Xenopus tropicalis: one gene and its partner. The protein of the gene in region 1 interacts with the protein of each later gene in a biochemical or structural test. Links are inferred from orthologs where the notes say so. Each region holds a gene or a part of one and is shown on either strand. Other genes may lie near its edges.

Region 1 (13,289 bases):
ATGCTACACATGTAGCTACAAATGCATTCCACTGAAAGCATTGAAAGCAGTAGGTAAAGATTGTGCAAATATACATCTACTTCTAATTTAGCAGTTCATAATAGTTTTCTGTCTGTTCTCAACAGAAACAAATTCTACATCTATGGGACCTGTTATCCATAATGTTTGGGACCTGGGGTTTTCCAGATAAGGAGTCTTTAATTTGGATCGCCATACCTTAAATGTATTAATAATCATCAATTAAACCCAATAAGATTATTTTGCCCCCATTATGTATTAATTATATCTTAACTGGGATCAAGCACAAGCTACTGTTTTATTATTACTGAGAAAAAGGAAATCATTCTTAAAAAAATTTAATTATTTGATTAAAATTGAGTCTATGAGTATGCCCTTTCTGTAATTTGGAGCTCTCTGGATAACAGGTTTACGGATAACATATCCCATACCTGTAGTTAATGGAGATACTCAGTTATCTTATGTACAAAAAACAATGAGACATGTACAGTTCCCTCAATGTTTAGCATGGTTAGTTCTTTTCTGTGCACTCCTCAAAATTCTTGATTATCATATCAAACTCAAAAGATGTCTTTTGAGAAATTATTCATTGAATTAGATATTTTCTAATTGAATTGATGTGCAAATACTGTAATTTGTACTTTGAATGCAGCATGAAAACAATTGTACAATGCTACTACTTACCTATATCAGAACACTGCACAACCCGCAGGTGGCACTGACAGCGAAATGGGCAAATAGGACCAATAGGTCCAGTTGGTCCATCAGTGGGTAGAGATGGTTCAGGCCATAGAGATGACCCATCCCCAGATGCATCATCCTCTAGCATAAAGTCAAACAGGCCTCTCTGGTGAAAGGGTTTAGAAATGCAAAGTGGCAAAAGTACAAAAAGGATAATAGTTGCCTTCATCTTCTTAGTTCATCCAGCCCAAATGGTATCCTAGGAGCGCAAGGAAAGGTACGGTATAATAATAGCCAACATTAGTCATTGTTCTCTACCACATTTATTTTATAAATAAATATCTGGATATCATTAAAATAGTACATTTGTCCAATGGCAAGTATATTACAGACCTCTCCAACTCTATAAAAAAATCTTTCCTGCATTTTTAAATCTGTCTTTTGTATTGAGATTAATTCCAAGGTTCTTGCTGAATGTAAATGAGAAATAGTATGAAATAGGTACACAGATAATTAACTGCACTAATACCTTCTTTCCTCTTTCTAGTCAATGAGAGACTTAAATGGGCTGGAGATAAAACAACTGATTTGAACTGGAATAACTGAATTAAGATTCTTCCGCAAATACCAGACCCATTTTTTTTAACTGGAAAAAGTCTTAATTATCATTAAATGGAAACTCCAAATTATAAACAATTTACTATTTGTTTCCAAAATAATCTTTATTTTCTTACATTTGTTTAACATTTTTACGTCTCTAACTAATACACTCATGTTGTGATTCACTGGCAGATTTCTCCTAGTTTATAAGGTAAATTTCCCCATGAGCTGTCAGTTTGTAAAGTACAACCAGGAAACAGTGTGACAGAGTAGAAAAATATGTCAAGGAAGCACACAATTTATAGCTCGAAAACTCAATAAAAAAGGGATGCAGAACCAACAACGTCCACCAGTTGTTCACTTGTAGTTTGGGGAATAGTATGTTGGAGACTTGGCTCAACTGATAGTAAAAGCATGCATCAAAATACATCCAATCACAATGGTGATTGCCTGTGACTGTACCACCCTCAGGGGTTTAAATTCCCTACCAGTCATTTTGAAGCCACTCAGATAAGTGGTGAAACATTTTCAAGAAAAACTCAGAATGGTCCAGTTGTTTTAGACTTAATTCTACTAGATACTATATATCATGACCTGGATGAATGAGATCTTCATAGACACAGATCCATAATGATTGCTAAATTACATCTTCACTAGCTTTGTGTCCAGTCTATGATCAGCTAAGCAGAGAGTTATGTTCAGGCTTTCCCCCAGACACTGCATTGGCATGGGAAAGTAATTTATCTAACCTTACCATTAGAGGTAACAAACCTTTCATACACTGATAGCATATTTTAGTGCCAGTGCACCATCAAGTCAGAAAAGGCAGCCTATAGATAACAGACTGGAGTAAATGTTGGCATGAATTGAAAGCCACAGCAATCTTCAAACCAAACTGCCTTAAAGTGATACTGACACTTAAAAACAACTCTTCAAAGTAATAATGTACATTAAAAGTTTTCTGTTGGTAATGTTGATCGTTTTTCACTGATAGGCTCTTTAACTATACCTTAAAACAGTTCACCTACATTTAAAATTAATTAATGTGTGATGTAGACGGTTTTATTCTAAGATAAATTTTGGTCATCATTTTTTATTTTTTCTAATTTTTGGATTATTCAGTGTGTTTGTGGAGCTGTCAGACAGGACATATTAACTGCTATCTGTTTGTTAGGGCTTAGTTCCCTAGCAACCAGGCGGCAATTACAATGGATGAACAGTAGAGGGCCTGCATTAAAAGAAAAAAAATTATAAATTAGCCTTTTTTTTGTTTGCTAGTGTCAGTAAACTTGATATCCATATTTCATTCTTTAGCTGCAGACCAGAAAGTTGAAGAAAAGAATGGCTGGTCATTCAAAACCCATGTTAAACCAGTTTAAAAGTTGCTTAGAATGTGTAATTTTATAAAATACTAAAATGTAATTACAAATTATTATTGTATATATTTTTAAATATATTGTCAAAACTCTAGCTGTGCTGATTGTTTAATGGATTGTAGATTAAAGGGACATATAGCTTAATGTGTTTGTGAAGATATTATTGATTTCATAAATAAGACTGTATAAAATTATGAGTTTAATGTATTTCAGTGAATACCTGATTATTGAATATTTACTGGTGGACTCCTTAAAACGTGTATGAAGAAGAGTCGGAGGCACTAAACACACTGTTAATGTTCTAAGGGCTTGTGAATCAAGACTTTTTTATAGGACTAACTTTAGGTAGGTAGAGTCGGTATTATTATTGTCTATAAAGCACCATTGTATCTCTCACACCTTTACAGGGTTGGGGAAACAAAGACAAGTCTTAACAGTTTACACATACAATTAACTCTTTACAGATTATTTTCTGCCTTGTTTTGTCCTGTTTGGTCCATTGTTGTATATTAAGAGTTTCCACCCAGAGCCTTCCTAACACTCTGAAAAATCCAGTATAAGGGATTGCCCAATTAGAAAATGGCAGCTGTCTGATGTCATGGGGTGGGGGGGGGCAAGGCCAAACAACACAATGTAAGCTTTAAATGTCCAAACACGCCTCTTGCATTTCTACAGTAGTAGTATTCATCACCAGTGTATCTGCTCCTCACCCTGTTCTGAATCACATACAAATGTATCTAGAGAAGCACTTGACTTACTTTGTGGGGGAACAAAAACATGGCAAATTGTGATTGTAAATGACCTTTCATAATACAGCATCAGAAACTATTCCTCATATCCTGTACAATAATATTTTACATGAAACAAGGTTGAAGGATGAAACAAAAAAGGTCTAATCTAGTGTCCATTTAATACTTTGTGCGTATACATAATTGATAAATAACTGATAAAGGGCAAGAAAAACAAATGAATACATCTAAGGGCCCTGTAGAGAACCCCCTCCTGAAACACATCACCCAAACTCCCCAGTATAGAAGAGTAGTGCCGCTGGGGTTGGCAGCCGTTGAGCAACTTTACTTCCTATCCCTGTCTTTCTGCTAGCGATCAACCACCAAAAGCATGAACAACTGAAGTCAGGACCAGATTTGATTCAACTGTGATTACTCCTAATTAATAGGGAACCATAGACAAGACATGAGTGTCCAGCATCATGGCTCCCTACCTTACTGCTGTTTTTACCAGGTATTGGAGACCGGAGTCTTTGGCGTATGGGTGTTGCATTTTGGGAAGTGTGGGGACTGCCCTCTGTCACGGCCCTAATATATATAAACCATTTTCTTCCTCTTTTACAGCTTGGAATTTTGCTTAAGAATCTGTTAAACAGAGCCTGCAGAGGTCACCAGGAAGTCATCATGTAAGCTACAAATTACATTTCTCTGTAAACAGGAAGGAGCTTATATGTGAGGTGATATGGACCATCAGTTCCTTTCCCTAGTGATTCATAGCAACCCATCATCATTGCGACATTGAGTGTTGTAAGGAAAACATTGGTCTGTTACTGTCTCTCCTTTTAGAAAGTGATATCCCACTTGAAGTATGTTGGTTGGATATGGCCTTGCAAAGGATTCGTATGGCCCCCTAGCTCCTAAATGTGCCATAGACTTCTTTGCATAATTTGTTTCTATTATTTAACATTGTCATACTTTTTTAATATGAAGTATTGCAAAACTGGTTGCTACGTTAAATATATCGGACAGCAATGCACTTAACATATCTTGTTTATTCATGGAAACAGATGAAGGTCTGCCACTTTGAATAAAAAAAAAGGTAAAAAGGTATAAAGGTATAAACAATATATATATAAAAAATATATAAACAATATATATGTATATATATATATCTATATAAGCACTTAAGGGTCTTAAAAAACATGTTTTATTGTTACAGTCAACATTTCGGTCCTCCAGGACTGTTTTTTTTAGCAGTCAAACCTTTCTTAGTTATAAAGTGCAAGTAAAAGAAAACCTGCTCTTATAGTCAGGGTTCTTCCATTAAAACTAGAACTAAGGTCTAAAAACAAATATGGGTAGAAATTTAACATTTTATATACAAAACCTACTGCACCAGCCTAAAGTTTCAGAAGCTTTATAGAGATAATGATTCAGGCCTTAAACATTGTGCACAGGAGGTCACCATCTTGGATTTTGCTAGAAGTCTCAGTGACACACATGCTCAGTGGACTCTGGGCAGCTGTTGAGAAGTTAAGCTTAGGGGCTGTCACAAATCATCAAGGAAAAAATGAGGTTTAAAAAACATTCAACAGAACTGATAATTGAATTCTGTTGCAAATTGCACTGGTTTCTGAGTTGCCATGTAATAAGAATCTGAATTAATTACTAGTTAGCCTTGTATTGTGACATTTATATTCAGTATATACAGTATATTTTGAGTCGGTCCCTGAACTCAGTAAGTGACAACAGCACAGAGCTTGGGCAGGGAATCAGCAGAAAAAAAGATGGGGAGCTACTGTGTCATCTTTGGAGGCACAAATCTTCCCTGCTAAAGGCCTGGTGTGGTATTGGATTGGTATAGAATGTCATAACATAATGTGCAGCATTTCTTGCTTACTTCTTTGTTAAGCTTTAGTTCCCCTTTAACATTACCTTAAACTATCAGTGCCAGCATAAGTGTTTTTATTTAATATGTGCACAAACATTTTTTTTTGCATATCTGCATGGATTTTGCCCATGAAAGCAAATTGCCATGTTGTCTAGCAGAGATAGACTGGGTGTCTATACTAAAGAAGAGCAATATCTACAGCATACAGATATTCTTAGATTGTTCTTTTTACTAGGGAAAATCTGCAGAAATACCTCAGGTGAAGAAAGCAAATATGACAGCTTCCATTTCTGTGGCACATGTAAATGTATGTAGTTGTGGTTGTAAACTAGCTCCTCCTACCTATATGAATAATGTCCCATATAATGGGATGGGATAAATAAATACATGGTATAAATGTGTATTTTTCCTTTGCCTATAATAATACAATGGACTCCCCAACATTTCCTTTATAATGACAAGTAAAATATATTGTTATTAGCTCTGGCTTGCCATATCTTTAAAACATTGCTTAAAAAAAAATCTTCCTATATAAATAATTTTTATTTCTTTATTGTTCAAAATGCTTGGATCTACATGATACTATATAAACATTCTGTCTGTTTTATTTGCATCTATATACAGTATTACACTTCTCATAATACAGTGTTGGCTTATAAAAGTGTTATTTTCTTTCTAATTATTTCAGGCAAATTGTATGAAAATGTATGCAGGATATAGGAGTTTGCCAGCAGCCACAATACTATATAAAAGGCTTAAAAGCTGACCCCGCCCCCTCCACGTGCATAGGTACTGTAATACAATAACTGTGGATATGTGGAATGCAGCTCTAGACACTGATATATGATTCCTGTTTTATGTTTGTTTCATCCATCTCAGGGTTTTCATGCTTCGCCATGCTTACGTACAATCTGAAGTTAAACATTTTCTATTTACAACACTGACTGCTGCATTGCTTTTAAGTTTAATGTCAGCTATGATATAAATGAAAAAATAATAATGTGTGTATTAATCAGGTGGGAGGCTTTTGTTTTCATTGTGTATTTGTTCTTTATAGGTATATAGTACATATAACTAAGACAACTGCAGAAAGAACATATTGAAATTGCATTTATTAAATTTAAAGCAGACTGCAAATCCAATCAGATGCAGAACTACTGGAAACATCAACATGCTGTACTCTCATTTTTTCCTTTCAGCCCTAGGTACATGTTTCTGCCGAAAAATTACAGTATTTCCATTATTTGCTTTATAACAACTGCCAAGCAAAATGACTCAATTGGATGTTTTGTGGCTAAGTTTGCTATGTAGCATGTGGATAATGAAATATAGTCACTTTTTAATCATATTGCAGTATATAAAGATCTCCAGCTGTCACAGATACAAAAAAAAACCTGTATTTGTATATAATATACACGGCAAAACCAGGAGGATAAGTGGCTTAGACAACAGAACAGATGAGAAAGTTTTACATCTTTTCATTGTTCTGTGTCAGACAAAAGAAATCTGAAACAATTGTACTTACCAGAATTTTCTAGAAAGTTCTTTCTTACAAGAAGCATTATATTAATTTTCTAGAAAGTTCTTTCTTACAAGAAGCATTATATTAATTTCAACAACAGAACAGCAAAAACAGAGTACAAATAGGACAGAACAGTTAACATTTGCAGGCTTCTAAAAATAAAAGCTACATAAATAATTATGTCATTAGACAAAGGGTATTTTATTACCTGGACTTTCAACAAAATGCACGTGCTGTTCCCTATGTCTCATGAATGCTGAGTTAGTTCTAACTTAGCTGCATATTTAATACATTTCATACCTTGTTATCCTGGGATTTCCAAGAAGAACTCTAGAAGCAGAGATGTAATTTAAATATTCAGTCCAGACAAAAGGAGTTTACAGGTGTGCAAAGAAGGAGGGGGTAGAACCAGTGCTCAACCACTGTCACTTAGTGGAAAACCCTCCTGCTCCTATTCCCAAGCACTGTTATAGAAAGCAGTTTCCTTCAATGAACACAATCCAGGCTGACACCCACATTAGATCATATGGTAATGATATGTCTCCTGCTCTTTAGCCAGAAATGTATCAGGCTTTTCTTTTTTACTTTCCTTATTTAACTGTGCACACAGCAGAGCTTTCGTTTGATTTACTGGTAAACTATTTAAATTCTGGGTTACAAATTTTGACCATTTTTTTTTGCTGTTACTGTAATACGATTATTCATTCAGCAGCATAAAGGAAGCTGACTCATTTAACTCAAACACTGCAAAGAAAATGAGCATTTCTCTCACAATGTCCTTAATATCCAGATGTTCATTTAGTGGAATAATAAAACAGCAGCAAAGTTATTTTACAATTAATTATTTTATTTAGAAATGCCTGTTGATTCACAAACTTTACTATAGTGCAAAATCAAAATAATTCTACAATTAGTACAGAAACAATAATCTGAAAACTGGAGATTCACATTCTGTTATTTAGGCACAGAGTAGTTAAAGATGTAACGCCATCCCTCATTTAGAAATAACTACAAAGATGACCACAATGGAAGGGTTATGGCAGGCAAATGCTATATTTATGTTCAAAGGCTTTCAGGCCCAACATTTATAAAAAAAAAAAACTTGACCAATCCAAAACACAACACTAGTGTGTTTTTAACATGTTTTAATTTTTATTGAAATCACAATGAATTTGATTAAAATGTTAATTACATATACATTTGTAGACATACAAATTAAGGTTCAGGTCTGGCCTAGACTTATTAAAATTCAGTACATTTATTTTAAATTCAAACAAAAATGCATTTTATATTAATACTAACGTACTAAAAGCAAGTAAAATATATATCCCTTCAGGCACAAATAAGCATTTGGCTCTAAAATTTTGACGTGTAAGACCTTGCCTTCCCTAAGGCTAAGACCAGGTGCAATAACGTACTTATGTCTGCGGAAGGCAGTCAAAAATCTTTTTCACTATCATTAGTGGTGTGCTTTACATCATTTTACATATTGGATTGTCCATTGTAAGCTTCCTTAAAGCATTACAAATGCCCAGCTATGCTGCTTCACACAAAGTCAGTACTTAAAGGTAAAGTAAAGGTGAAGTAAAGCTGATGTTTAAGTCAGTACTCACGCTAAGGTAAACACTTTCTTTTTACTAGCTCTGTGCAATTTTTACAACTCCAGCCCTTAGTTCCACCTCCCTGCTAGTAACATTGCACTTACACTTGGCAACATACCAGCTAGGTAGATATGCACATATTCATGTATGGCCAATACAATGGGGAAGAGAATACAACATTGATCAAAACAGAGAGAGATAGGAAGGGTGAGTGCAAAGAACATGGTTTCTCTATAGGGAATGTTGGCCCAAAATTTCATAGAGCGAGTTGTCCAATTTCAAGTCTCAGAGATCACCAAAACATAGGTAAGTCTGTAATAAGAAGTGGATAATTTTGATAGCAAAGTGCATTTGACATAGTAAAGTTTTCTATTTAACATTCTTCCAGTTATCATTCTCATATAAGAACTTCTTAACATTCTTCTGAGTTTCCCAGAATAGAACATTATAGAACCTACTGACTGACAGCAAATTAGGCAGTGCAAATAGTAAGAAGTAGGGCATGATGTGCTGAAGTATGGACACGGACAGCAAAAAAGACTAAGCAAAGTGCTGTGGTGGCATGGGATATGACTACCCTGAGCTTCTATAGTTAACATCAGCGCTTGAATGGAAAGAAGGTACTGGCCCATAAAAAATAGCCACCTAATAAGTAACAGTTATGAAATGCTATAAGTATAAGCACCCATAGCAAGGACAGTTTCCAGCATCATTGGATCAGCTTTCCAGGAGTAAATACTTTGCTGGCTCTGTACTATATCCAGCTTCAGTGTCTTTGCCATAAGTCAGGAGAACTGATACATTTTAGACAACTAGATTAAATGTTCCCATACACTGAAAAGAGATTTTGCTACCTTTTACTATTTTTGAAGGGAATAGATCAATTTTAGTTTTACACAAAAAATGGATCATAGGGCAGTTTTTTACTGTCTATGAAAGAAAGAAATATTTTCTCCCAAACTAATTGCTGGGAAAGTTCTAGATTTTTGACATGGGTGAAAAGATATCATTTAATTGGTCAACAACAGAAATTATTAAGGGACAATGTGGACCCTTCATTTGGTATTGGCACCAAGCTGAGCAGAAATAAATTGAAATAAACATTTCCTGTAACTGTTAGTAATCTCACACATTGACTTTAAGGAATGTTGACTCATTTACACTATTTCAACTCTTTGACATTTGAAGGCTTTGATGCATGAACAACTTTCTTCAACTGCAACAACAGTTCAGTAAGGTTTAGACCTAAACTTTCACTTGGCAAAGAACATACATAACAACTGTTATTTGTTTTCTGTTGGCTGTCTCCTTTAATCATAAAACTAACTTGAATGTGAATACCATATTTAAATTGTTTGAATGTCTATATATAAGATGATGCTTAAACTTAAGGAAGATGATATATGCTGCAAATGGAGTTTACATACTGTAGTCATTTAAGCACTGGATTCTACAAAAATAATTTAACGTATAAATATATATACAGATTTAAAAAACAAATATAGCAACAGCATCATTAGCAATAAAGCATTGGCCCTATGGCCAAAATGACCAAATTAGTACAATATCACCCACCTGTAGGTGGGGATATTGGGAGTCGTTTTAATCCCCCTCAGCAGCCTATAAACAGAACAATGAGCAGGTAACAAGATAACACCTCTCCTGAAGGAATCGGGTGTCTGAACTGATGGCTTTCCCGTGTTTCTATGTTGTTACCACTGATTTGCTTTGAGTTAATTGCATATACTGGTATACTGGTATAGAACCTGTTCTGTATTTCAGTGAGTGGGGAAATGGCCCAACACTGGCCCACACTGCCTTCCATTAACTTTAATGGCAATGCCAGATCAGGCGCTTTGCCCCAGAGGCAACAGAATACTAAAACATATGGATGAGAGCATTTTGCACTCAGTTATGCAAGAAGTCAGTTTTACCTGCTCAGATAGGGAGTGCTTTATTGACCATGAGGAGTGTGATTTCCTGTGAGCAACAAAGCTCCCTATCTGCCATTGCCATAAGGCAATATTTTAACCAGTTGTGGTTAAAACATCTCTATCTGCCTGTCACAGTTTCTGATGATATGATATATGTGACTGACGCATAAAGATAGTTGAGAGGTGGAGGTCTGCCTTTCGATGCTCTATGCTCTATGTGCTTTCCATTTAACATTATGAGGTGTGGTATTTGGGCATTTTAGTTACCTGGCCAATAGAGGACAATATATCTTCTGTGTCACAGCCCTAATTGCTAATACTGCCAGTACAGGTCATTATTAAAAAGCTGTTATGTGTGTTTTTTTTGGTCAAGAACCAACTGTACTTGATGTCGAGCAAATTCAATTCACATAAATAGGAAGTTTCTCTGCCAGTTTATAAAAAAAGCCCTATGTGCCCTAATCTTCAGACTCTCTCTCTCTCTCTATATACATATAATGGTACAATGTCTCCAAATACTAAATACATTATGCAGTGAGAGACAAGGGGTAGTAACACTCCAAATACTTTAAATACATTAAGAAACAATGGAAACTTTAGCTCCAGATACATTGAAAGCAAATGGAATTTCTAGTCAAGTGGTGTATACAGTATTAGGCATTGTAATAATGGAGATGCTGCCAAGGAGCAGTGTGCAACATATTATGTTTTGCACAATAGATCAATAGAAGTAATATTGTATAACCACGCTACATATATTAGAATCTATGTCTGTATAATTAGGAACATTTAGCAAAAAAAAGCTAAAGCAAAAAACTCCAGATTACTCAGATCACACATTTAGATCACCCCTGGAGAGCTACTCTTAGATCACAAATGAGCCAATGGAGGCCAATCAACAAACAATCAAGATTAAAAAGTTAAAGCCATATATAAAGTCAAAAACTCCCTCAATTATCAGTCGCATACAATGTATTTACAGGTTCGTATTTCTTTGCTCCACCTGAATCATATTATACTGTAGTTTGTCCTTGCGACATTGAGACACATCATACACAGGTTCAAAACTTTTCACAATTACTGCTTCCATGTGGCTTATATCATAGTGATCAATATTTGCAAAACGAAATCATTCCAGCCTGTTGTCATTTTACATAACACTATCAGGTTCACCATGTCCATTAATAGTCCTTATTGCATAGTAAATCCTTCATCACACAAAAGGATATATTTCAAAGTTTGCTGCAGTCATACCAAAGTATATTCAGGATTAAATTAAACTGGTTGTAATTAGTGATATATCCAAACTCACCATCAAGTACTTTCCTCAATATCAGGGACATAGTTACTCTTTATCACATTCAATGAACAAAAAGGCAGGTTTTCTTTCTTATAAATGTCTTCAGGCATCTTAATCCTAAAACCCCTCTCTCATTTGTATGGTCAGAGAAAACAAATAAAATAATATCACATTAGACAAGAAAAACATAAGGGTACACTAATGGACTACCACAGTGTCGGACTGGGAACCCAGGGGCCCCCCGGAAAACCTATAGGCCCACTTCCAAACTATTTTTCTTCCTTTCCTCACCCAGCCTCTTTATTCTCCTAGTCTCTTTTATTTACATGCTAGCAATTATTCTTCCATCTATTTCTCCTCTTTCTTTCCATTCAGAAATAGGGAATGACCCTGAAGTAGGCCAAATGGTCAGAAGCAGGAGGGTCCATTGACACCTGGGCCCACCGGGAGTTTTCCTGGTATCCTGGTTGGCCAGTCCGACACTGGACTCCCACAGTGCAAAGAACGTATACATAAGAATCCTGTAATACAAATATTAACAACTATAGTCATATTAATTGTGTATGATAAAAAAAAAAACATCTTAATATCTCTACATTCACAATTCTTAAAACTAGAAAGAGAGTGAGGCCACCATCTCCACATACAGAGATGTGGAAAAGTTTATCCAGTGAGTAAAAAACCACATGTACATCAACCTCTATATTGAAAAAAAATCCTAGTTTGCATATTGGTAACCAATTCCAGGGAGATTTACTGTTATCATACAGATATAGTATATGGCTGGGCACGTTGACTTGACCCTTCTTGATTCCAGTCAAGTAGCATAAACTGGTATACACTGTAACACAGTAGTGTTCAAGCACACAGGATTTTTCTTGACTCCAGCCAGGCTACACGTGCCAACCAGGCACCGATGTTATCGTACAAATTTAGGTTTTGTATGATATTCAGTGTGTGTATGATGGATCTACGAGACGAACGATATTGCAAAAGCCTTGGATATCGGTTGTGTCGTTAATCGGGTGGGACAAATGTTTTTCATTGTGCGGCTTAGAAGTGCCCGAGCAAAGGCTGTGTTTAGGGCTGAATTGTCAGATAGAGGTAGAATTTCTATTGTTTCTACCACCATCTCCAACGATTCAGACCTGGATGTCAGTGGAGGGTACGAACCATCTTTCCTGTGACCACTGGTTGCAGGAAAGATCGTAATTGGAACGTGTATGGCCAAATTAACAAAATGACCAAAAAGACTGCACTGCTACCTGTGCTGCTTAGCTTGAAAAGATGCATATCAATATGCTATTGCCTCTACAAAGACTGAACATAACACTAACCCATTTTGAAAACCAAGAACTTCCAATCACCTTGGACAAGGTACAGTTCACAAAGAACAAGACAGCTCTACCTGCTGTCTCTAGTGATGAGCGAATTTTTTCGCCAGGCATGGATTTGCAGCAAATTTCTGCATTTCGCCATGGGAGAATTGTTTCGCGAAACTTCTGTGAAAATTCGCTGCGGAAAAATTAGTTGCATGGAATTTTTTTTTAGTTGCGCGTCAAATTGACGAGTGCGACAAAAAAGACACGGGCAACCACAAAGACGTGGGCAACAAAAAAATCTAATTTTATAGGCAAA
Region 2 (13,289 bases), on another chromosome or scaffold:
ATTGCAGCTGGATTTCAGCATATAAAAACAGTATTTATTCATACTTTTTAAAGGAACATATTACAGTTATAATATTAGGGGTTTCTGTGTTATGTGGGGATCTTTAACAAAGTTTGGTTCGGAAGCTGGAGTTCCCCTTTAAAATGATCTCTATAGGAGATGGGCTTCCTGTAATTCAGAGCTTTTTGGATATTGTTTGCTGCTTGTTATTAGCCCCTAAGGACCAACTGAAACTTATTTGGTGCCTGCCACAAGTCACTAATGTAGCTAAACATCTTTGTGTTACTTTCACTTACATCCAAGCAGCTAGCTCCCAGCAAGCTAATGGTAACTTATGTGAACTGATGTGTGTGATAGAAGGAATTGCAGCTAATCACATCATCATCCTTGTGAAAAATTGTGGGTAAACTAGCATGAATAATTTCAGAGGAACATTATGTTATGGCAAGTAATATATAGACATGACAGGGTGGCATGGGCCATTAAAGGTGATATTAATAGATATTCAGTATTGACAAAGTTATTTCTTCGGACATGATCACGCAACAAATTTCAGAAAGACCAGCTACTGAAGGACCATTCACACTAAATAACCCTTATTAGCATCTAATTAAGCCATTTATGAACTTAGTTTGAAGCAGTAAAATTCTGATAAAGCTTTTCATAATGTTCCACTTTTCATACTGTTGCATAAAATCAGAGCTGTCAGATGGCAGAATGGGCAGAGAAAATAAGATTTCAGTAATGTAAAAGGATTTAGCAATGATAGTTCTAGAGATCTACTTTTTCTCCAAGCTGGAATCGAGATGGTTAGATAATAACCTAGTATTGAGTAGAGTATTGATAAGCCTTTCACAGAGGAGTTGTAAGCAGGGGCTCACCACAGATGACGCAGGCTAAAAGGAATACCTGAATGGAAGGATAGCTCAAAAGGCCTGAAGCTACCCAATGAGACGGGAGGCCAGAGGTTTAACAATCAAAAAACAGCCCATTTTAGTATCTACATTTATCACTTTTAGCTGCCTTGAATTTAATTGCTAGATTTAGTGGAATTCTTGGATTTTCTCAGTACTTAACGATAAATGTCAAACATCTGACACCAGGGCCGGAACTAGGGGTAGGCAGAAGAGGCACCTGCCTAGTGCACAACGATGAGCGGGGCACTAGGCAGGTACCTTTCCTGCCTACTCCTAGTCCCATTCCCTTGTCATTGCCCCCACAGCAGCCCCAGCAAGAGCATTGTGCATGGGGGGGGGGGGAGGTGCAGGTGCAGGGTGGCCAACAGGTTTGGCCTGCCTCTGTCTGACACTGCTAAACACTGTGTAGATAAACACTTTTATGGATGGTTTAAAGCAAAATGTGCTTATTTTCATATTGTACTTCTCTTATTTTATATTAGGCATCTTAACTATTTTTGTTAATAGTATTATTGATATCTACTGCGGATATTATAGATCCAGGTCCAGACTGGAACTGAAAATAGGCCCTGACATTTCAAGTACACAGAGGCGTAAATAGTGACTGTCTATGGCATCTTACCGCCATAGACAGTATGCAATACTCTTTTGCTATGGCATAGAATAAATATATTAATTGACCTTTTCATTAATATAATACATTCCCTGAAGAAATTTTCATTTACTGAGTTACACATTTTAATGAAAGAGAGTAGCTATTATCTTCAGATTTGTCTTTCACTGGAAAAGTAGTTAGGATAGGGCAAACCCAACCAGCAGAGGTAAGTCATATTTCAGTTAATAAAGGTTTATGTTGGCAATATATTAATAGTATGCAGATTATCTTGCCCATATTTCTAGTGCAAGACTCCATATAGTTCCCAGCTTATGATGTGCTATACCTGCCTTCTTTGCCAATCCTAATTTAAGCAGCATGGTTTACCTCTTGTGAAAGGGGTTTGAACAAAGAAAGAGGGTATAAAAAAAGGAACTTGCCTACATTTGTCCACCCTAGATGGAGTAGGCAGCTGGTTTTCAGCTAGAAAGTACCTGAGTGAAGTGTAATGGTTATCCACTTTCCTTTGGGCAAAAAGTAGGCACATGTTTCTATAAGTAATTTGTTGCCCTATTGGCCATATAACATTAGTTTTTACAGAATACTGTTTTATGTACATATATACACACATATTTCTGACTGTTCTCTTCATGTGTGCATTTGCGCTAAGCAGAGACTTCACATTTTTGCTTTTGAGTGCATTTTTGTCACAGCTATGTTGAATGGATTAGTACTTTCTGTTGATTAACAATGGGGTACTGTGTCTTTAGAACCCACTGTAGGATGCTCCACTAAAACAGACCCTTCCAAGGTGAGATACAGAAGGAACATTTAGTCTGCCCATCTCATTAGTGGATCTGACACAGAGGGATGATGTTGAACATGGTGTGCCACCCTTGGCTGAAGCTATGCAACATGGAGTCTCACTGTGACAAAATGCAAAATATTAGGCATCATGGAAACGTGGTAATTATGTAACTTGCTTTACAACCTTTCAGTCAAAATGCCTCGTAAAGAAAAGAAAATAAGCATATCCTGAAAGCTAAAACAGACAATCACCAAGGGACTTGGAATACTTCACAACACAACTTTGCCTATAGGGGGTTTATTCAGGGAACCATCCTATTGTACATTAGTAAATAAGTCTTGGCTGCAGAGACAGTGGAGTTATTCTGAGGATAGTGAAGCCAGTAATTTACAGCCTGGTTAGTGGGTGCATATCTATCCAGAAAGCTATAATTACCTACAAAGAGGATATTCTGTGACCAGGAAAAATATGAAGCAGCCTGATAAGGGAGGGGGTAGATACAGGACAGTTCTAACCCATGATGGGCTAACTATAGACCATGCAGCTGCTGTAAACCCTTTGAAGAACACTGCAAGATGCACAGGGTGTGACTACCCTGGCTATGCTTTGAACTCAGCACCCTGTGGGGGCTAAGAATATGGAACCTTCCGAGGAGAAATATGGGAAGGATTTTAGGGCACTAGAAATGTAAAAAAGCAGGGGGAACAGGATTAGATATTGCCGTCAGTCCTAAACATATGAATGCACCTAGTTTCACTATTATTGTATGGTGGTACATGAACAGCTATGCACTAGCTGAAGTCAAGTGCAATGTCCCCTACATTATTATTCCTGTGTTTGTCACTGATTGTTTTCTTCTGATTGTTAGTTTAATTTCTGGGAAAGGAATGGCTGCTGAGGAAGTCCCTACCATACGCCATAAAGCAATATTTACCTGTGACTCATCCTTACATAGAAATATACCTGGTTTTTGAACACTGTTATGTGCCCATCTGCCTAAAGTATTTATGGCGTTTTATATGTATGTATAGTTCATATAGGAGCAATGGTGCAGGATTAGTAGCCTGAGTAGGGCTAGACCCAAATTACCCACAATTCAATTATCAACAGCCAACTCCACTGAAGAACTGAAGAACATGGACGTGCCTCAATGTGAACCAAAGTGGAATGCAAGTCCAACCCATTAAAAAAAAAAAAAAACAACATTTGGCTTCATGGTGTATCAAGGGGCCTAACTGCCAGTCTATTCCCCAGGGAAAGACTAGTTTTCACCTAGGCCAAGTGCACAATGAATTGTGTTGGGTTGAAAACCCCCAACATACTGTTCTTTGACTTCAGCTTATTCTTCCGCTTCTTCTTCTTCTTAGCGCCCCCCATTTTCTAAACGCTACTCCTCCTACAGTTTTAGGGGTACAACACCCAAACTCTCCACACTTCTTCACCCTATAGCGGAGCAGGTTGCTTGTGCTTTTTTAAGTGATCCCGCTCCCGTCTTTTTGTGGCACCGCTCCGAACCCCCCATTTTTCCCATTGACTTTGACAGGGAAGATTTTCAAACTGCTGCCACACTTACAGCTTTGAAGCTACACCCCCCCAAACTTGAATAACATAATAATGGTGTCACCCCGAATGAAACAACAACATTTGTTGGATGTCCCCAAAGTGGGAGGGGCCAACAACAGCCAATCAAATTTTACCCATTGACTTTAACGGGGAAATTAAAACTGCTGCCAATCTTACAGCTTTGAGGCTACACTCCCCAAACTTGAATCACATAGTCATGGGGTCAGCCTGAATGAAAATATGATGAACAGCCAATCAGATTTTACCTATTGACTTGGCAGAAATCCAACCTGCTGCCATTCTCACAGTAATAACACAAGGGCCCCAAACTTTGCAGGGTTAGGCACCAGGTAACTGCGGTTCAAGGTTAGGAAAAGTGGGCGGAGCCACCAGTAGCCAATCAGATTTTACCTATTGACTTTTAATGGGGAAATTTAACCTGCTGCCATTCTCACAGTATTAACACCAGGATCCTCAAACTGTTCCAAGTTTAGAAAAGTGGGTGGGACCAACAACAGCCAATCAGATTTCACCTATAGACTTCATATGTTTAAACTGCTGCCATTCTTTAAATATTAATACTAAGATCCCCAAACTTTGCAGACCTAGTCACCAGGTAACTGTGGTTCAGAGTTGGGAAAAGTGGGTGGAGCCACCAGCAGCCAATCAGATTTTAACTATTGGTTTTCAATGGGGAAATTCAACCTGCCATCCTCACAGTATTAACACCAGGGTCACTAGGGGACTGCATTTTTAGGTTTTAAAAAGTGGGTGGAGCCACCAACAGCCAATCAATTTCTACCCATTTTATTGGTTTATATTTAACTGATGCCATTATTTAAGTATTAATACCAGAGTTGTTAAACTTTCCAGAGTTAGTCACTGGGTATTTGCCGCTCAAAGTTAGAAAAAAGTCGGTGGAGACACCAATGGCCAAATAACATTTCACCTATTTACTTTCAATGGTGAAGTATAAAATGCTGTCAGTCTCACAATTTTTATGCCAGGTCTCCAAACTTTGAACAGTTGGTCACTGGGGGGACTGCAGTTCAAAAATAGGAAAAGTGGGTTGGGCCACTAACAGCCAATCAGATTCCATCCATTGAATTTTATTGATTTAAATATAAAATGCTGCCATTCTCACACTATTTATGCCAGGGTGCCCACTGTTTGTCACTGAGTGACTTCGACTCAAGGTTAGAAAAAGTGAGCGCACCCACCAACCACAATTTACCTATTGTTTTTTATTGGTTTAAATTTAAACTACTGCCATTCTTTAACTATTAATCCTAGGGTCTTTAAACTTTGCAGAGTTAGTCACTGGGTAACTGCAGTTCCAAGTGAGAAAAAGTGGGTGGAGCCACCAACCGCCAATTAGATGTCACTCATTGACTTTCAGAGGGGAAATTTAAATTGCTGCCATTCAGACACTATTAAAATCAGGGTCCCCAAACTTTTCACAGTGGTTTTACTATATAACTGTGGTCCAAGGTTAGAAAAAGTGGGTGGAGCCACCGACCGCCAATCAGATGTCACTCGTTGACTTTCAGAGGGGAAATTTAAATTGCTGCCATTCAGACACTATTAAAATCAGGGTCCCCAAACTTTTCACAGTGGTTTTACTATATAACTGTGGTCCAAGGTTAGAAAAAGTGGGTGGAGCCACCGACCGCCAATCAGATGTCACTCATTGACTTTCAGTGGGGAAATTTAAATTGCTGCCATTTAGACACTATTAAAACCAGGGTCCCCAAACTTTGCACAGTGGTTTTCACTATATAACTGTGGTCCAAGGTTAGAAAAAGTGGGCGGAGCCAATAACAGATCAGATTTCATTCAGTGACTTCATGTTTTTCAACCGAACATGAAGTTTGTTCTCAAACTTCCCTTTCTAGTTTTTATAATCTTATTACCATAGATCAGTGCTCAGCATCTGCTTTGCCTGAAAAGGGGTACTTAATAACTTTATTAATTAAATTTATTGTTGTAACTAAGCCCATTTATGATGCCATATATAGTACAACGTTTTAGTGCAGTTATGTGGCACATTGTCCCAGCAGGCAGCGAAGGTTCCTGTACAGTATGTGAGTTCTGTTGTATAGAAAGAGGAGTGTGACTTTTACTGAATAACAGCTTTGCATACATCATGTAATTGTGGGGAGGTTAATATAGAAATATACACACACACATAACATATTTATGTACCTCTTTTTATTTTTCCTCATTAAAACAAAATATTTTAAATATAAAAAAAAACTATAAAATAATACAGTTTAAAAAGGTAAAAAAAAAAACTTCTCCTTTTAAACAGGAATTATTAGCTCCTTCTTTGTTCAGTGGGTACCTGTACGTGGCACTCTGTATTCTGTATTTCATCCAGTTTTGTCCTACAGGTCTGCCCTGTAGCTGAGGCTGCAGCGATAGGTTCCTTTTTCTGATTGATTCCTGTATTCTGGCTTTGTAAATAAATGCCTTTTGTTTCTTTTTAACATATTGATAGCTCTACAAGTTGGGAGAGTTGATATGAACATGGATGAACACCCATGTTTTACCAAAAACAGTTTTTAATATTTTTTTTTGTCAATATACCTTAAGACATGCTCGAGCTTTTATTTATTTAGCAATTATTTATGTTAATAAATATACAATCTATAAAGAGTTGAGATTCTCTAATCTGTGCTCAGCATTAAATGTATTAATCTATACTGTAAGGCATTTTTGTGTTGTGACCTGAAAGGCAGCATCTATTGAATAAGGATCACTCTTTAATTTGTTGAACGATAATGCAATAGGCACCAAAGATACTCTAGAATGGGGTTGTGTTTTTTTCTGTCCCTTGTAAAATGGCCTTCGGTTTATTTATCAAGGGGAGTACTGCTTATTTCTCTGCCGTAACTGTATATAAAACCCCTTTACATGGACTGGATGCTTCAGATGAGTTATTTTACCCTGAACCAAGATTTTGCCTTTGCCAAAACTTGGTATATGTCCATAACCTTTGGCAGGGAAGCACTTTCATAAAAGCTGTAGTGGGGTGCTAAAAAATCGATACAGTAACTGAACAGTGAAGTCCAGAAACACAGATATTGTAACCAAGGGTGTATTGTTGTAGATGAATCCTAAATCCATGTGTGGGTTGCGTTGTTTCTAACTGCTTTCGGCATTTGTGCCTTGCATATGTAAAATCAAAGGGTTCCTTGATCTTCATGACTTGACTTCATGGTATCCATGTTGGCAACTGGCAGCAGTAAGGTGGTTTGTTAGGATTCTGTACCATGTCTTTGCTTTGCTTTCTGCCCCCAAGCTTTTCTCAGCTGCAGTGGCAAGACCTTACCACCATGTTAGAAAGCTGCTCCACCTTGGCATTGCGGCCAACATAATAAATGATTGGTAGTGGCTCCAGGACATCAGGAACACAGCAGGGAGAGATAGATGCACCAGGGTTGTTCTGATTATAAAGTGATAGCACCTGCATAAGATAGACCATCAATACACACATACTATTAGAAATGATTAGCTTGATAAATTGCGATATTGCAAGATATTAATTATCAGATGTTATGATATTTTGGAAGCATAATTTTATAATATATAAATGCAAACCCTTACATTCAAAGCAGTTCCCAATTCTGCCCTACCCTATATCACTTACCCAATATACACAAACCTAAGCTGCTTGAGCTGCACACCTTCTCAGGAATTCCCTTCCACCAGACTTTTTCTCAATCCTGATCCTTCACCATCTAAATGGTCTTTTAAAAAGCATTTCTTTAGAGAGGTTTACCATCATCTTGCAAAGCATACCTTTGTTCTATACCTGCAAATTGCAATACCCAATGCTATTTCGCTCACTTTGCTATACCCCATCTTACCCAACACCTAATGGCTCTCATTCCCCCTTCTCCCTTGAGACTGTAAAAACAGCAGGGCCCTTTTCACCTCTTGTTTTGGTCAGCATTTGTATATAATATGTATGTTTGATGTATACATAGGACGTAGCACATAATCATAGGAAGTTCTCTTCAGAAGAACAGATGGTTTCACTCATAATATTTTAAACGTTTTAAGAGAAGACAGCCCTCATAAAAACATAATTCCAATAAAAAAAGCATAACCCTTAGACCTGAAGCAACTTCCGGAGAATTTTGGAAAGACTTGTATTAGAGACTTCGGTATAGAATAACTGAAGCAGTGGGAGCTAGATTTGTTATTCAGTGAGCATTAGTTAAGGGAAAATAAATATTGGAATTTATCTTGAGAGTGGACAGTGTGAAACTTGTGAGTGAGTAAGAAACTTGTACTAGAAAACATCAGGGAATGCAATTCCATCAAGGACACAGTCCAAGTACAAAGTAAATAAATGTTTGGGTTCAGCTAAGTTCTTAGGCTGCAAAAGCAAGAATAGAAGATGATGAGAAAGGCATGCAGAGCCAGGATTAGTACTACAGGACAAGCTAGAACTGGTATAAGATGCACATTTCGGAACTGCCAAGATAATTTAAATGAAAATAAGTCATTTTTGAATGAAAGAAAGATAGCAAGTGTTAGCAGAATAACAGAAAAAAATTAAAATGAATGCTGAAAAAAAATAAATGCATGGTAGCAGTAAACAGTGGGAAGTGTACATGTCAACACCATAAAGTAGGAAAAGAACTGGTAAAGTACATGGTAGGACTAGTGTAGTAACAGTATATTTTATAGCAGTGAACCCCCACCAGTGGCTTGCGAGCAAAATTTTGCTCACCACCCCCTTTGATGTTGCTCCCAGTGGCTTCAAAACAGGAGCCTGTTTTAAAAATTCTGGTTTGGAGACCCAATGTTATTCCAAGCAGACCCTCCTGCTGGCAAGCAATCCACATGGGGCTACCAAATAGCCAATCACAAGCCTTATTTGGCATCCCCAAAGAACTTTTTCCATAATTGTGTGGCTCACCAACCCTTTTTATATCTGAGTGTGGCTCACGAGTAAATAAGGTTGGGGCTCCCTGTTCTATAGTTAATAGTTGGTATCTAAGGTAAGGAGGGGATAGAATTTGGCGTGGATGTCACATGAATCCTTTCCTAGGTTAGACTAGGTCCATCAGCTTTGCAATTAAAGCCAGTAAATGTACAGTTGGTAGCAAAGACTTGACAGTAATACTAATGCCACATAGATGACTGCTATATTCCCAAAAAATCTATCAGATATGACAAATAATTGTGAGCTGGGAAAAATAATATTATTTGCATTGATCTATAATTTCCAGTGGTATGTGTCCCTGATTTTGTATTTCTGGCAAACTGCTGAAAGGCAAAAGATGTGCACAAGTGCAGCTATCCACATGGCTTTGTATGAGAAAGAATCTATGCCAGAACTGTAGTGGAGTGAGTGGAGTGAGCTGGGAAATAAAGGAAATGGTTTAGAAGAAAGCTGGTGTTTTAAGTAAAATGTGTTGAAAAAAGCCCCTACAAACTGGGTATTGCAGCTATACTGTAACATTGCTACTAACTTCCTGCCAAAAATATGCAGCTGCACCTGTAAAAGGACATACCCTAGTCCAACAGCTGCCCCTATCAGAATTTGTGCAGAGGTCCCCTCTTTATCAACTGCCCCCTCTGCTTTCTTATTTCCAGTCCTTTATTTCTGTACTTTTTCAATGCTTTTATTCTCCTTTCTAGTCTTCTCTTTCCCCTCTGCTTCCCTCACCATCCTCCTTCTTGTTTTGATCTGACCTCACCTCCCATCCAATCTGGCACCCTTCTCCTTCACTTTGCTCTCGCCTTCTATTCCCTTTTTTTCATCCCATGGAAATGGGTGCTCCATTTGAATGCAATACATCCATTATTCCCTATCCCTAGAGAGTGCAACTAGCTGGTTTTCTGGCCTTCTTGCCCACATTTCACTCTTCTTTTCCCTACTTCACTCTACTTTTACTTGCCCTATACTTTAATTAACCCAAACTATTCTCCATATGTTCTCCAATCATCCCCCTTGTTTCCCTTTTGTTTTGCAATAACACAAATTAGTAATAATATAGTGGAGGGTGATAAAACAGCTCAATGTAATTATTAATGTTGGTAGCAATTTTCACCAAATAAGGAGGCTGTGGATTATGTAATGTGCCATAACAGCTACAATATGTTGAGGCACCAGCCTTCTCCTAACAGACCTGAAAAAATGAGCTACTATTAAGGCCTTTTCTCAGACGTTCCCAGCTAGTCAAACATTTAAGAAATTACAGTGTCACCACTTGGTCATGGCAACCCTTGGATCACCATGCAAGTAAGCCAAATGAGTGTCCTATGGTGGCCAGACTTAAAGAGTAAAAATAAAAAACAAAGACTACTGCTGCATGGAACATACAATGTGTTAGCTCTGAGGGAAGCTGTGTTATTAGTGAGTGGAGCTATGCAATACTTGCAGGAATGGGGATGCATGCCTCACATGTTATCATCTCTATCACTATTACACATTGGTAAGGGACCTGTTGCCAGAATGCCCAGGACCTGGGGGTTTTCAGATAAGGGTTTTTTTTGTAATTTGGATATCCATACCTGAAAAGTCTGCTAAAAATAATTTAAACATTAAATAAACCCAATAGGATTGTTTTGCCTTCAATAAGAATTCATGATATCTTAGTTGGGATCAAGTTAAACGTGCTGTTTTATTATTACAGAAAAAAAGGAAATAATATATAGTATATGGGAGATGGCCTTCCTGAAATTCAAAGCTTTCTGGAATAATGGTTTCTTGATAATGGGTCCCATATCTGTACTGTAAAGATGCTCAAGAGCTCCATTTTTTTTTTCAAATAATCACTGCATTCTGAGCACGTCAACACTCACCTTGCTGTACTGAGTATCTGTGCTCCAGATGTAAGGACAATTTCCTAAACAATAATTTGCTTCATATCCCTTAGGCTCATGGATCCACTTCCAGCCTAGATCCTTCCGGAAATTTATGTAAAGCGGTTTCACACAGCAGTTTGGCCCACTATTTCTGCAAAAGCAAGACCAGTGAGTCATTTTCTTACCTGCCCTATAATTTAATTACATGATATCTATGCTTTTCATATAGCATGACCATAAGAAGATGAGAACCACCAGTTTTCTTCCCCCTATGCTGAAGGTTTTGCAGCTATTGAAAAGCAATGTGAACACAGCAATTTATCCACAAAAACACAAATTGGATCTGCTTTACTTACCCAAAGCAATACTCCTGTCCAACCCCACGCTTTCTCCGTGAGTGTGAGACAGTGTCAATTCGCTCTGCTGGCATTGACGTGATCAAGAGGTAGGGTTTCTTGAGGTCATCACCACCCAAATTCATCAAGTCTCCCCGCAAAATAGAAAACCCTTGAAAAAAAGTTGCATGTTAAGAGGTTAGTAATACTGCTTATCAATGTCAGACTTGAGTAACAAGGCATATCCTGGAGGGTACCTGGCTCTTCTTCCCTCTTACATTTGAAACACAACATATTTACAGTTTCTACAGTCATGGCATCAAACCAGGCTGCATGGCCCAGGGGTAATAACAATATATATTAAAGACCAGGACGCCTGTTGTCCTGGTGCCTCATCTATACTGTAATTAGATATTGGGAGGTGGTCAAACCTCTAGTCCAAGCACTGGCCTGTATTTCTGGGTCACTTTGGTTTGTGATTGAGAGTGCCACCTCTTTGTGGGCATGGCCAGCTAAGTGGCCCCACACTTAATTGGCAAAGATTTGCAGTTGACATATATGCAGAAGTGATGAGACTGAGGCACAGATTCATTGGATCTGTGGGAGTTGCAAGAATTAATAGGAGTGGGAGAACAAAAGTGAGATGGGAGAATATGATGTGGGGAATGAAAGGAAATACAATGCAGGGATAGTAAGGAACTAGGTAGGCATGTAAGCTGGGGATTAAGTAGAAAATCATCAGGAAAAGATGCCTATACTTTCCCTGCAAACATATATCAGAAACTAGGTATTGAGATACCCTGCCCATCTATTATTTAATATACTCTGTAAATGGCCACACAGGCTAGTTAAATCACGGGGGAACTAATTTATGAATGCAACCACAAGTATGTCACATGTGAATGACAGTGAGCTTGAAAAAAAGCCTGTTAGACCTGAAACATTGCCCACACTGTCCTGAATTTGGCTGAAATGCAATAAAGGCCTTTTATTATTGAAGATATTCTCCTGACTGGTGCTGTGGATTCTGTCACATGTGAATGACATTTGCACCTATTGGCATGGGGAAGCTTTGAGATATTGCCACTTTCAAGCTGGCTGAAATTCCAGGGTTCCTACTGCTGCCTGCATTGATAGGTGCAACAGACTCACACAGTGAATCAAGCACAAGAACCATTATTACACAATCCCCACTCTGACAAACTTTGCACCTAATTGCATCTAATTTCTCAAAACGAACTACCGCAATTATGCTGGAATCGTTGCAAAAATCTTTGCTTTATGGTAAGAAAAAAATTCCAAAACTACAAATGTGGTTTTTAAATAGCCCTGAAATAAATCTAAATTATGTGTATTTTTCAAAATAAACAATCTAACAAAACAGTTATTAAAAAAATGAATTATCTCTTTTGTACACAAAGATAGAAAAGATATCATAGCTTCTCTTACCTTCTATACTTATAACCTTGCTGTGTGTAGTTATTGAACATTTGCAGGCAGGTTTCAACCTGAATTCTTCATTTTCCTCTGTAGATAGGACAGATGGATTAATTTTCTGGACAACAACTAAAAAGGTTGTATAGTCTAAAATGTACTGCTCACTCTTGGTATCTTATTTTGCAAAATATCTACCTACTCCTCCTTCTTACCTGCATGGTTCAGCCATTCATTCACAGTCTTTGTAACATCAAATGACACCCACTCATCATCTGTTACTGCAGTAAAGAACTTGCTATCCAGGTATCCTGAGTAATCAGTTCCATTACCCTGTGTGAGAATAGGTTAACATTACTATCAACAAGGTTTTATAAAGCGCCAACATATTCTGCAGTTCTGTACAGTAGAAGGATTTATTAATCCAACAGATGACATGTAAATACTTGGGATGAATGATTGGGACCTGGGGTTTTCCATATGAGGGATCTTTCTGTAATTTGGATCTTCATGCCTTAGGTCTACTACAAATCATTTAAACATTAAAGGAGAAGGAAAGGTAAAAACTAAGTAAGCTTTATCAGAAAGGTCTATGTAAATACAGCCATAAGCACTCACAGAAATGCTGCACTGACTTCTCTGTAAAAAGATTAGTTGTGTCCTTTTCCTCTGCCAGAGACACGTAGCTTTCAGCTCTCTCCTCTCTGCTGCTCCCCCCCTTCCTCAAGAATAAGAACTCACTCCCCCCCTTAGGAATGTGGATCTGAGCCAATCAGCAGGAAGCTGACTCATAGGGGGAGATTCACTAA

What was found.
Region 2: the proteins of dcn (region 1) and tgfb1 form a complex in vitro, tested with the Homo sapiens proteins (3 studies listed by BioGRID). The link is inferred for Xenopus tropicalis from reciprocal best matches to the Homo sapiens genes DCN and TGFB1.

Annotation. Positions count from the first base shown.
Region 1 is NC_030679.2:55,503,831-55,517,119, forward strand, and holds the start of dcn (decorin precursor), read right to left. Parts: upstream 7,269-13,289; 5' UTR 7,117-7,268; intron 7,110-7,116; exon of another isoform or gene 7,025-7,109; intron 959-7,024; 5' UTR 929-958; coding exon 703-928; intron 1-702. UniProt on the Homo sapiens protein: May affect the rate of fibrils formation.
Region 2 is NC_030684.2:79,283,245-79,296,533, forward strand, and holds the end of tgfb1 (transforming growth factor beta-1 proprotein), read right to left. Parts: intron 12,814-13,289; coding exon 12,696-12,813; intron 12,574-12,695; coding exon 12,496-12,573; intron 11,219-12,495; coding exon 11,068-11,218; intron 10,863-11,067; coding exon 10,709-10,862; intron 7,353-10,708; coding exon 7,194-7,352; 3' UTR 6,078-7,193; downstream 1-6,077. UniProt on the Homo sapiens protein: Transforming growth factor beta-1 proprotein: Precursor of the Latency-associated peptide (LAP) and Transforming growth factor beta-1 (TGF-beta-1) chains, which constitute the regulatory and active subunit of TGF-beta-1, respectively.